Linked DNA regions of Saccharomyces cerevisiae S288C. Each later gene encodes a partner of the first gene's protein in a complex. Each region holds a gene or a part of one and is shown on either strand. Other genes may lie near its edges.

Region 1 (7,697 bases):
ATGAACGGTGAGCCACCACGATTATTAGTATAAACTCTGAAACCACCGGGGCCTCCAAATGAAAAAGTGGAAGCAGAAGGCCCAAATGGTGAAGCGCCGAATGGGCTGCCGCCTGCGTTGAACAAAAAGTCGAATATGTCCTCTGGTGGTCCAGCTCTTTGACCACCGAAACGTGAATTGAAAAACATGTCTTCAAATCCGCCACCCATTGGAGACCCACCTGCACTTCCTCGGAACCCTGAAGCAGCACCTCTGGATGGCATTTGTCTATCGTCAGGATCCCTACCTATCCTGTCATAAATACTGCGCTTTTCCTCATTGCTTAGTACTTCAAATGCCCTATTAATTACTTTGAAAGCTTCTCCCGCTTTTGGATGAGAGTTTTTATCAGGATGCAATTTGATTGCTAGTTTTCTGTATGCCTTCTTGATCTCACTATCTGTGGCTTTCCTATCTACCTTCAAAATTTCGTAAAACTCATGCTTGTCTTTTGACAGTATTTCTAGCGCGATTTTTTCTTGATCCTCAGTGAAAGACATGTTCTTCCTATTATAGACCTTCCACAAGTTATATTGCAGAAACAGCGTTGCTGCTATTATGGCTTCTGGAAGTAGAGGTGTATGAAAAGAACTTCTGCCAGCTTCCTTTATGTTCTTCACGAATACTTTCCAGCCTACTCTGCGGGTTACCCACTATACAAATACCATAATATGTTACGCGGTCCGCTATATACGAATCTACTATGTACGTCGAACATCATTAATCAAGTTTTTGGGGTTGTCATACATGGCTAAAACGCTCAGGATATCACGTAGGTGTTTCAAACCCCTTGTTGGTGGAGACCAATCCTGGTAAGTTCGCCAAATCTCTGTTAATCTTCTCAAAGCTTCCACGGTGTCCCTCTGAAAAACAGGGCCAGAAGTACTCGTGGTACTATCCAAGAAGCAGTTTAATGAGATGGAGAGCCTCAACGCATGTGGTATCTCTCGCTGCGGTAAATTTTTCAATTGAATCAATTTGGAGAAGGAATCATGAATTTTCCATACCAAATCATATTGATTGACAGTATTCAATATGCTTGTAGGAGTGTCGAGGTCGATGTTTAAACGTAAATGCTTACGACTTAATGGGTTTTTCGTGAATATTGTATTGTACAGAAAGCATTTATAGACTTTATCGTCATCATAAATGTCTGAATATATCCTTACGAAATCCGAAGATTTTTCGTTTTGATACTGCACAAACTGCAAAAAATCCTTTACCGTAGAAATATTCTCTGGCAATAATGATTCCGATGATGAACCGAGACTTTCACCCTCCCTTTGGTCGTAATTGAGTTGATGACCATTCATTTTCCACTTACTGTCCATTTCTTGAAGCCAGATTTTGTTGCTGTTCTGGTACTGTTTCCTAATATTTGGAGGCAATGTGTAATCATTAAATGACCTTGAAATAAAAAAAGGACTTAGTAAATTAATTATGGGAATAAATTGTTTATATCCTAAATTCTCCGTTATCATCAAAATATCCCATAAGGTTATTTCGAAAAGTCTGTTGGTGGGAATCTTCAATCTCGATTCAAAATTAGGGGTCCTTACATGGACGTCATTAATGTTACTAGTTGCTTCATCATCGGTATCAAGGTTTAAATTATTAGCATTCTTTAAATCAATGCCCATGTACTTCCCATTGCACCATAAATTTCTCAAGATTTTAGGGTGATTATAATCTATAGCAAGTTTTTCTGAAATTGTCATAAAATTATCATAAAGCTTACCAAAAAATGTCAGTCGAAACGTATCCCAATTGAACAAGAGCCAATCCAATGCATCCTGAACTAGTTTAGATTCACTAGAATCTATCCGCCTATAATTTTTGATTTTAGATAATGTGTCTTGTTGCTTTTTGTCAATGCCCTGAAATAACTGTTTTTCTTTGATTTGTTGGCTCTTCGTTGTGAAATCATTATTTGAATCATGATCATTACTATCATTTTCGTTAGTACTGGAATTGGAACCCAAGTTATTATAACTATTGCTAGTAAAGTCAGTGCTGTGGTCCCAAAATCGATAGCCTTGTAAACATGACTGGAAACTCAATACACTCACTGTAGTGTTTTCATCAAACTCTAGAACTTCATTATTTTGCACGATATATTTCGCTAATAGCAAAGTTAAGGGAACGCTGTGATAAACGCCCACAAAAAAAATTGAATCTACCTCTTTGAAAAGATGAGCCCAGTGGTTCAGTAACTCTACACATTCTTTATATGTAGGTATTAAATCTTGATTATGCAGTGGGCACTGGAACGATAGGGTCAAGACTCTTTGAGGTTGTTCTTGCGCTAGATTTTGTGACAATTTTCTAGAAAGATAATAAGCCGATCTTTGTGATTCTAATGAGCGCTGCTCATACTTTTCTGGTAAATCCCCCACGACGGATATTATAATAATTCTCTTATCCTTCAGTAATGCGGTTTTTTTTTGTCTTAAATAGAGATGTTGCTCATTAGGGAAGTTATAGTAATTTTTGATAGTATTCAATACCTTAGTTCTTAGTGGTTGGACGTGCAGAAAATTCAAAGGGTTATCTGATGGTAGGATTAAAGAATCATTAATAAATACATTATACCCAGGGTTACCTCCCTCCCCAGGATATTTGTTTAATGGCAATGGGCATTTGGCTGATCCTGTACCAGAGACACTGATTATTCCTGGGGTATCTATGGAATCAATTATGTTTGATGAATTTGATATATGTGGAATTGCTTCGTACCAACACCATGATTTCGACTTTTTTGAAATTATATCCTTAGCCTCATTTTCCAAGAAGTTGATTTGTTCAGTGTTTAGTTGAGAGTAGCGGGTATTATCATCAACAACAATTGGGGCACTTCTATATCTGGATGTTGCAAAAGAAGCGATTTTAGACCATATCCCTTTATTGTCATTATTCGAGTTCACGCTATCTTGAAAATCCGTTGTCGGACTACTCCTTCCTTGTCCATTAGGATATTCTGCAATTCTTCCCGTGTTTGGCTCATCGTCGGCAGTGGAATTCCACCAGGGTTTCCATCTGTTTTGTTGTCGTGGACGTTGGGGTGGGACTTCCTGCTGGTCCTCTCGTATCTGCTGCTGCTCTTGTGTTTGATGCTGCAACTGTTTATCCTGTTTCTGCTGCACAACATCCATTATAATAGCGTTTTATATGTTGTGCTAAATTGCTACTACACTTGCTCGCTTTTACTTATTCTGTTTGTAGTTGACCTTTATTTAACGTTGATTTTTGTTATTAACCTGCGCGAATCTGTATTAAGGGCGCATATTCCATGGGCAATTTCATTATAACAGAAAGGAAGAAAGCAAAGGAGGAAAGAAGCAATCCACAAACAGATAGCATGGATGATTTGTTAATTCGTAGACTAACAGATCGAAACGACAAGGAGGCCCATTTAAATGAGTTGTTTCAAGATAATAGTGGCGCCATTGGTGGCAACATTGTCAGCCATGACGATGCTTTATTGAATACACTGGCAATTCTACAAAAAGAACTGAAAAGTAAGGAGCAAGAAATACGAAGATTGAAAGAAGTTATTGCGTTGAAAAATAAGAATACGGAAAGGTTGAATGACGAATTGATTAGTGGAACCATTGAAAATAATGTTTTACAACAAAAACTCTCGGATCTGAAAAAAGAACATTCCCAGCTAGTTGCGAGATGGCTAAAAAAGACAGAGAAAGAGACAGAAGCCATGAACAGCGAAATAGATGGAACGAAATGATGCATCAGTTGTCAAATCGTCACAAAATGCATACAAAAGAAAATAAAATCATTGTGGTGCATATACATGGACAGAATATGAAACGCCAAAGTGTTTGCAATAAAGAGGTGAAAATATGTTAAACATGCTATAGAGAGTACACCTGCAAGTTAAGAAAATGCCATTCGTGTTTTTATCTACTATAATGTAATGTGACAGCTGTTTTAAACCTTTCTTAAGGTCGTTTGTGCGAGAACAGGCTTTTTTTTTGGAGAATGTATCTTGAGAGAAACTCAATAGTAATAACTGGATGCATAAAGAAAATTTCATATGAATCACTACAAATCTTTGGCGTTAGAATTCTATTGGGTAAATTGAACTTTGTAGCTTTTTGATGGTAAACTTGGCGGTTTTGCGCGACCCATGATCCTAAGAAACCCGCAGTTTCTATTAGGATTCACGATGGTCTTTATCTCACCTTCTATTATGTGTAAGTTGAAATGCCCCTTGCTGTTCTTATAGCAGAAAGCTTTTTTTTTCATTTATAGGACTAGCATTTTGGCATTGGAAGGGAAAAAATCATGCTTTCATTGAAAAATGAAAAGAAACATATCGTTATTTTGTGGGAACACTGAAGTATAATTTTTTGTTTCGGAAATTTACCATTGCATAGTGGGTATTTTCATCGAAAGTTGGCTAAAGAATGCATGCGGCCTGTTCATTCTGGTTATGAGCATTTCAATTGGTTAGTATATTGGCGTGAGTGGAAAGAATAGTGGATAAAAACTAAGAGACCCGTTCATTCTCCTGATACGATCTTGCGGTAAACCTTATATTTTTGGGGAGGGTACTGTAATATCTCATAACTCCGCGTATTATTGTGGATGTAACTTGTTGCTGATCCTCTCGCTGAGGCCATCATTATACGTGAGTCGAAGGATGGCCGAAATTTTATGATACTACACCGAAATTAAACCGTCGTCTAATTTAAGATGGCTGAAATGCAAAAACCTGGTTCTTTAAGTGGAAAATAGAAGACTAAATGGTTTCATTGCTATTTATGGTGCAAGAAGATGGCTTAAAGATTAAGAAGCATTAATCAGATTTAATGGAAGCTGAAGTGCAAAGGTTGATTATGTAGCGATCTCTAACGACAATTGTTGGAATGAAAATGAACTATCATCTATCAACTAGTAGTTACACTACCAGTATGTTATCATGTACGGTGTTAGATGATGACATAAGGTATGAGAAACTGTCATGGAAGTTAGACGAAGCTGAAATGCAAGGATTGATAATGTAATAACATAATGACACATATAAAACAGAGTGAAGAATAATCGTAGTACTATTATGTAGAAATATCAATTCCATTTTGAGGATTCAACCTAAAATTCATATGTTTTTCAATATTAAATATAAAGGAGCTAAGATTTGGCGTAGGATCTTCGTCTATAAATTTAGTTGCTGATAAATTATTCTCCATTGTTGCTTTTATTGAGTATTAAAGCATTTAATGCTAGAATCCTCCATAACAGACAGCTTCAGTAGCTCAGTAGGAAGAGCGTCAGTCTCATAATCTGAAGGTCGAGAGTTCGAACCTCCCCTGGAGCACATTTTTTTTCAAAACTTTTTATCACTGCTAGTAAAGGTAATGAATGAAGGACGTTACTGTAGTACTATACTCATCATCATTGTCTGCATTTTATAATATTATTATTTACATGGTCCGTATATTTTTTAATTACACGTATAAATACGGTCATATGTGATTGTTCTATTCATTTTACTCTGCATAGTACTTCTCCATCCAACTTTTTGGATATGGCTTCATTAATGTCCATAATGTTGTTATGAGCTCGAACTAGAATCAGTTCTCCTGGTTGTAGTGGTTTGATGTTTCTAATAGTTACGCCAGAGCATAGTTTCTTCATGTCTTCCATTGGCAGGTGTATTCTTGAATTTGGTTTGGAAATTAATTTGCAGCTGCTGAGGACAGGTTTGTTATCTCTATACTTCAATCCAACCCAAAGCCTTCTAGTAGAGATATTGTCTGGTGTTACTTCAACAAAATCTTTGTCTGGTCCCATAGTCGATCCCTTCTGTAAAGACGATAAGAACCCTTGTTGGTAAAGGTTATACGCAAACTGTAGCTGCAATTTCGTATATGGGATCGATGTTAAGGCAACTCTAACTTTCGAGCAGTTCTGTAAATGAGCACACGTATTCGCAAGTTTGACCAACGACATTTTGGGCGATTAGTTTAGATCGAAAAAAAGGTGTATGTGGTCGCTTCTTTGCCTTTGGCTTTCTTCTGTTTTTCCGTTCTTCTTCCTCAGTTTGTCGATTTAATTTCAAAAAGCGGTTTGTAAGGACTGCCGGTAAAGCTAAAATGAATGAATCCCCATAGGAAGATTAATACATAACGAGCCCAGATAAATAGACTACCTACATGTTGCGACCACTGAGAAAAAGCGTTCTAGCAAGCTGCCGACATTGTTTCAAGGTGTGCGGTGGGTTGCCTCAAAAGCAATTACCCTTATTTTCACCATTGCTCTTGAGAGCACGATACTCATCAACTGATAGCTCAACTAAAAGGTCTAACAAATCAGATAAAATAGATGCTCCAGGATTTAAGAAAATTTTCCTTGTTGCTATTATCGGTACAGTGATATTTGTCAAGACAGTACAGTCTTTAGATAAGAACAAACCGAAGACAACATTATCAGAAGAAGAATTCGAAAATGTGGTTAAAGGGTTGAAAAGACGTGTGGCTATCTTCCCACAAGGTGAGGTCGATATAAAGTTTTCCTTATCACCCAGCATTGAAGAAACTAGAAAGGTACTGCAGAAATCACAAGGCGATGATATAAATGAGCTGCAGTTTGTCGATCCAGTCAAGGTCATCGATTACTACAGAACCTTGAGGGATGATAGATATGAGGCTTTATTAAATGAATACTACAAAAAATACGGGTGTGACACGTACGCTTACAATTTGCCGACCGGTATGTTGGTCATGCTTTTGGGTAGATATTTCAAAGAGAACTTCAAGACCGGTGACAAGCTAGTAGTTGTGAACTTTCCTCATTCGATTGCTGATGCAACAAGATTTGAAAATGAGGTTTCTATAGTGTCTAAAATCTTTGTTCCGAGGAAATTGAGTGGCTCTGACGTCTGTAAATATTACGAAACTGTAGGTAAAGCTGATATCATCTGAGGATGTTTTCTTTTTTTTTTTTTTTTGGTTTCTTCTCCTTGTTAATAGCTTATATGTATATATATCTGGATATATGTCCTGAATATGCTGCTTATCTGTCATATAACATTCTCATTTTCTGTTCCCTTCATCTATGTGAATGAATTCTGTGCGTTTCTTTCGTTTCCCCTCTTTTGCGTATGGCTTTAAATCGATTTTAATCTGTAAAATCATCCCAAAATCAGATGGATAACATAGAAAACTGAACCGAAGGAAAGCCCATGTCCCACAAATTAACAATCCTGCCATTTCTGATTAAGTTCACGCCCAAGTTTCCACAATCCATTGATCACGACGAGCATGGTCTAAACGTTTATGCCTTTGATCTGGACCATACAATTATCAAACCAAAGTCCCCCAATATAAGTTTTAGTAGAAGCGCAAGTGATTGGCAGTTTATTAATTTTAACTCCAAGAAATCCACCCTGGATTACCTGTGTAATATCATTGATAATGATCCCACGGCCGTCATAGTCATATTTTCTAACCAAGGTGGTGTCATCACCGTCCCAAGAACTTCTAAAAGTTGCACCAAGTACACTAATAAAATTTTGCTATTTTTAAAGGCAATCAAAAACGATGAGAGAGGAGAAACGTTATCACACAGGTTATGGCTATATGCAGCACCTAAAAGGCCGAAAACTTTTGCAGCAAATCATAGTAAGATCACATTCGCAA
Region 2 (5,378 bases), on another chromosome or scaffold:
GATGACAGTGGTGATTCAGTATTGATTAATGATCCACCTGCTTGGAATACTTTCAATTTGGTCTTGAGAGATGAAAGTGTTTTGGAGTTTGTTAAGTACGTCAGCTGGAGCGCTAAATCTAGTAGATGGGATGTCAAAATGAAGTGGGATGTCAAATCATGTGATGAAGATGGTCAGGAAGATGAAGCGTAAACAATTAACCCGTCTTATTAAGTAAATGGCAGCTTAGATATTTATAAAGTTGTATAATAGAAGTAATAAAATTATTTGAAAAGTTATTCGTCAATTTCAGCTTATTCCTCTGGCGTGAATATCATTACCATAATCCAAATTCGAGTAAGCGAATAAAACGGGTATATTAAAGAAATATAAGAATGAATATAAGTTTAACTTAAGATCTAATTGCGATTCTTTTTACATATTGTATATTTACAGACAGAACTATGAAATGCCTTATTTTCTTAATTATTTCATGTGGAGAAGCATTAGTGTAGTACAGTTCACATTAATCCTATTGCCTGGCACCGTCTAATGGCTTTCGATAGTCTTCTTTGATTCTTTGCCGATAAGCCTGTGATATCCCTATGTTGGATTCTTCCCGTGGAGGTCACATATCTTGAAAGTATTCTTGGTCTTGCATAAAATTCTAGTGGATTTGCACCGGACTTCATTATATCGTTCCTGTTTGAGTTCTTGTTTGCCTGATATTTTCTATCTAAATGGATTCGTCCCATAGAGAAGTCAAATGGATCGTAGATAGTACCTTTGGGAAGTTTTTTGGACAAAGACTGATCGATTTTCTTTGTTTGTTGCGTTCTCCCCATTTCAATATTGACACTCTTCTTTTCTTTGATACCGAAATTGTATAGAGCACGTTTAAATGTGGAGCTTACTGCTCCCTTGATGATAGGTTGCATACCGTTTTGAATTTTTATGCCTGTGGTGGCATTCATCTTGAACATCCGAAGTTTTGTGTAGAACCTTGCCTTTTTGGTTAGAACTGTAACACTGTTAATAATGGACTCATATTTAAGTATGTAAAGTAATCCTAGATATTTTTTCCCCCAACAGGTTACCCTACAATGCAATTTAAAGGCATAATAGAACATCTAATAGAAGTGGGTGATTATAATGAGTAAGAAGACGTAATGATCATAAAACAAAATACTAATAAGCTATGGTGCAATGCAAGATCCCAATATTTGCCAGCATTGCCAGTTGAAGGATAATCCAGGCGCATTAATTTGGGTGAAGTGTGATAGTTGCCCGCAGTGGGTCCACGTGAAATGCGTGCCTTTGAAACGCATTCACTATTCAAATCTTACAAGTTCTGAAGTTCTGTCTTATCCAAATTCTGCGAAGCAAATCAAGAGCTACCGTTGTCCTAATCATAAGGAAGGAGAATATCTTACCGCATACGCTCTCATCACACAAAAAGGAAAGCGGCAAAGGAATAAAGAAAACCCTGAAGATAGTCATATAAATAAGCGGTATAATTTCAGAAAGAAGAAATTACTTGACTATATCGCTTTGAATGAGGGTGAATCGAAAAGGGATAAAATGAATCACCCTCATAAGGAGAGTTTCATGAAATCTTTTGAAAAATGGAAAAATGGCTCAAATATTATAAACGCCGCTGACTTTGCTGAAAAGTTTGATAATATAGATGTGCCGTACAAGATCATCGATCCACTGAATAGCGGAGTATATGTACCGAATGTGGGCACAGACAATGGATGCCTCACAGTTAATTATATCACCGAAATGATAGGCGAGGATTATCATGTTGATGTAATGGACGTTCAATCACAAATGAATGAAAATTGGAACTTGGGATCTTGGAATGAATATTTTACAAATACTGAACCAGACAGGAGGGATCGAATAAGGAATGTTATATCATTAGAAGTCTCTAATATTGAGGGATTAGAACTAGAGAGGCCCACTGCAGTTAGGCAGAATGATCTTGTTGATAAAATTTGGAGTTTCAATGGACATTTAGAAAAAGTCAATGGGGAGAAGGCGGAGGAGAATGACCCCAAGCCAAAAGTGACCAAATATATTTTGATGTCTGTAAAGGATGCTTATACGGATTTTCATTTGGATTTTGCCGGTACCTCTGTTTATTATAACGTTATCTCAGGACAGAAGAAGTTTTTATTATTTCCACCTACCCAATCAAACATAGATAAGTATATTGAGTGGTCTTTAAAAGAAGACCAAAATAGTGTTTTCCTCGGTGATATTCTTGAGGATGGTATTGCGATGGAATTAGATGCTGGTGATTTGTTTATGATTCCAGCTGGATATATTCATGCAGTTTATACACCAGTAGACTCTTTGGTATTTGGAGGCAACTTTTTAACCATCCGTGATTTGGAGACACACCTTAAAATTGTGGAAATTGAAAAGTTAACAAAGGTTCCTAGAAGATTTACCTTCCCGAAGTTTGATCAAGTGATGGGTAAATTATGCGAGTATCTTGCGCTTGATAAAAATAAAATCACTAGTGATGTCAGTGATGGGGATTTGCTTTCCAGGACCACTAATTGCGCAATTCAATCACTTCATGCATACGTTATAAAACCTGAAGTTAAGTACAAGCCGTTAAATTTCACTTCAAAGAAGCATTTAGCGAAAGCTTTAGCCGATCTTATTTCGTAAAATTTCTTCTTGTCCGCCACGTTCTTGTATCTTTTATTTCATCCTATGCTCTCGATGAATGAGATCTACTTTAGCAATTGATACAGTATAACCCTGACATTACATTTAGGGAATAATCGCCCCAATATAGGTTACAAAACATTAATATATATGTAAATATATGTGCGCGTATATATATATATATATATATATAAAGGGAAAATTAATATTCTATCATTAAAGTGAAGAAGAAAGGTGGATTTAAATTCCAAGTCTTTTCAATTGTTCTAAACGTTCATCAATGGCATGTTCAAATTGGTTTGAAGTATTTGTCCGCTCACTTAGTAACTTGGCATGAATACATTGTAGCGCTTTTATGGAGTCAGATTCATTGATAACGCAGGATATGTTTATTTCATTTGCCCCTTGAGAAATCATTTCAATGTTGATGCCTTCTTCAGCAAGAGTAGTAAACATGGTACCAGCAATGCCGATGTATTGTTTCATATGTTTACCAACTAATGAAACAATAGACAACTTCTTTGTGATATCAACAGAACCTAAAATTCTCAATTTTTCCTCAGCTTGTCTCAGAGATTTTAATGAGTCTGCATCTGGAATGGGCAAAGCCATCGAAACATGAACTTCAGAAGTAGATATTAAATCTACGACTAACTTGTACTTATCCAGGATGGTAAATATTTGAGCTAGGAAACCATGGGATAGGGTTTTCTTATTGGAATGAATGTTGATGACGAAAATGTCATTTTTGGTGGTGATAGCAGTGGCACCTCTCTTTCTCTTTTCATAGAAAGATGAGGATAAGTTCTCAGGAGGATGTGGTGGAGTAGATTCACCCTTCTTTGCTACATTATCTGGGTAGATAATGGTACCGTTACCTAATGGATTTTGAACATTCTTGATTCTAATAGGAATCTTAGCCCTAATAACTTGTTCCATCGTAAAAGGATGTATAACTTCGGAACCATAATATGTTAATTCAGAAGCTTCTTCTGGAGTAACACTGTCTAGCAAACGTGCTTCAGGAACCTTACGAGGATCAGCAGTAAATATACCATCAACTTCCTTCCAAACTTGTAGTTCATCAGCATTTACAGCAACTGCTATCAAAGCGGCACATAAATCGGTATAGCCACGACCAACACCATTCAGAAGACCAGTTGGAACTAAACCAAAAAACCCTGTAAAGACTGGAACGATACGCTCTTTAGCACTTACAAAGGGGGCCAATTTTTCTTTCAATGCTTGAACCAGGAAAGTGTAGAAACTGTTATCCAAAGCGCTGGCACTGAAATCAGAGGGAACAATGTGGCTCAAATCCACATATTTGGCCTTACAGCCACGGTCATTACATAAAGCAGTCATGAACAAACAACTCAACTTCTCACCACATGACATCACCAGATCTACTGTACGTGAACTCACTTCACCCAAAACTTTTGAAGCATTTAAATATTTCTTGACCAGTTCAAGTTCTTTATTGGTATCATCCACTAACTTGGCTTGCAAGGCAGGATTGAGAATGAAGCGGTCGGCATTATCGATATGGTCTTGTCTGATAACTTCGATAATGTCTTGAAATTCAGATTCTTGCGAAGCCAAATCACAACATTTCAAAAGACGAGAAGTGGTACCTTCAGCCTTGGTGTATGAAGAACGGGCGGAACAAACGACAGCGACATTATTGTTTGGGCCGTCAGGTTTAGAATAGTGCTTCACAATGTCATCCACTATTTGGACGGGAAATTTACCGACAGATGTACCACCGAACTTTTGCACGACCCAGTTCGAATGACTTGATGTAGGTTGGAAATCCATTGGCATGTAAAAGTTAAAAAAAATGAAAGCTTCTGTGATAAAATGCGATAGCTATGTGAGCTTAAGCGATGGAGAGAGTATTGGCTACACAAATATCCTTCAATGAGTAGAGCACTGTTAAAATAGAAATAAAATAATTATCCAGCAGTATTCTTATATATGGATATTATACATTATTTCTTCGAAGCTAAAAGAATCTCTGGAGAAGACTGCGTACGGAAAGTGAAAAAAAAAAAAAGTGATGATGAAATTTTCGTTTGCTAGTGAAAAAGAAAGAAAAGGTGAGTCATGGGCCTGAAAAATACACGTGGTTAGAGCCACAGTAGAGTAAAAAGTTGATATTAGGGGAGTTCTAGAAAGAAAAGGATCCTGTGAGACCAATGACAGTGATTGTAAATTGTGGGAGTGATATTTGATGTTACTATCAAATAAGGCCTCAGCCTCTGAATATGTTCACCTAAAAATTGTAGAAGATTCAATCGCGAGCGGCTGGCAAGTTTGGGCATGCATCGAGTATTGCCGTATATCGAAACTACCTTATAAATGTGTTTCTGATATGGCACTTTCAAAGTTTTCCTGGGCCTGTTCTTGGCTTGAGAAATTTGGCAATCATAACAAAACTCTTAGTATGAAAAGAAATTGTAGGACGAATATTTATTAAGACATATGCAAAGAAGAACAAACTATAAATGCCGGTCATTTACTAACTTTATGAAATCCTGTGTATACAATATTCCTCTAGCACAGAGTGTTTACGATAAACCTTGCCGATTGAATCGATCAGCTAACCGGTGGTTGGTAAGCCTACATAAGCCTTGAACGAATCGTAAATTAGCCATTGGAAACTTGTCAAAGTACCGATCATGACAATTCTCACCATTAACCCATTCCACAAC

What was found. The genes of interacting proteins can lie anywhere in the genome.
Region 2: MRPS8 (region 1) and RSM18 share a complex: the UniProt entries of both Saccharomyces cerevisiae proteins name them as parts of the mitochondrial small ribosomal subunit.

What each region holds. Positions count from the first base shown.
Region 1 is NC_001145.3:570,560-578,256, reverse strand, and holds MRPS8 (mitochondrial 37S ribosomal protein uS8m MRPS8), read right to left. Parts: upstream 6,010-7,697; coding exon 5,542-6,009; downstream 1-5,541. Other genes in the region: type I HSP40 co-chaperone HLJ1, read right to left, coding at 1-539; CVM1 (Cvm1p), read right to left, coding at 741-3,191; ATG16 (Atg16p), read left to right, coding at 3,329-3,781; YMR158C-A (uncharacterized protein), read left to right, coding at 4,926-5,063; AIM36 (Aim36p), read left to right, coding at 6,213-6,980; TPP1 (polynucleotide 3'-phosphatase), read left to right, coding at 7,241-7,697. UniProt on the Saccharomyces cerevisiae protein: Component of the mitochondrial ribosome (mitoribosome), a dedicated translation machinery responsible for the synthesis of mitochondrial genome-encoded proteins, including at least some of the essential transmembrane subunits of the mitochondrial respiratory chain.
Region 2 is NC_001137.3:253,471-258,848, forward strand, and holds RSM18 (mitochondrial 37S ribosomal protein bS18m RSM18), read right to left. Parts: upstream 918-5,378; coding exon 501-917; downstream 1-500. Other genes in the region: TPA1 (oxidative DNA demethylase), read left to right, coding at 1-192; JHD1 ([Histone H3]-lysine-36 demethylase), read left to right, coding at 1,186-2,664; HOM3 (aspartate kinase), read right to left, coding at 2,905-4,488; PIC2 (Cu/Pi carrier), read right to left, coding at 5,267-5,378. UniProt on the Saccharomyces cerevisiae protein: Component of the mitochondrial ribosome (mitoribosome), a dedicated translation machinery responsible for the synthesis of mitochondrial genome-encoded proteins, including at least some of the essential transmembrane subunits of the mitochondrial respiratory chain.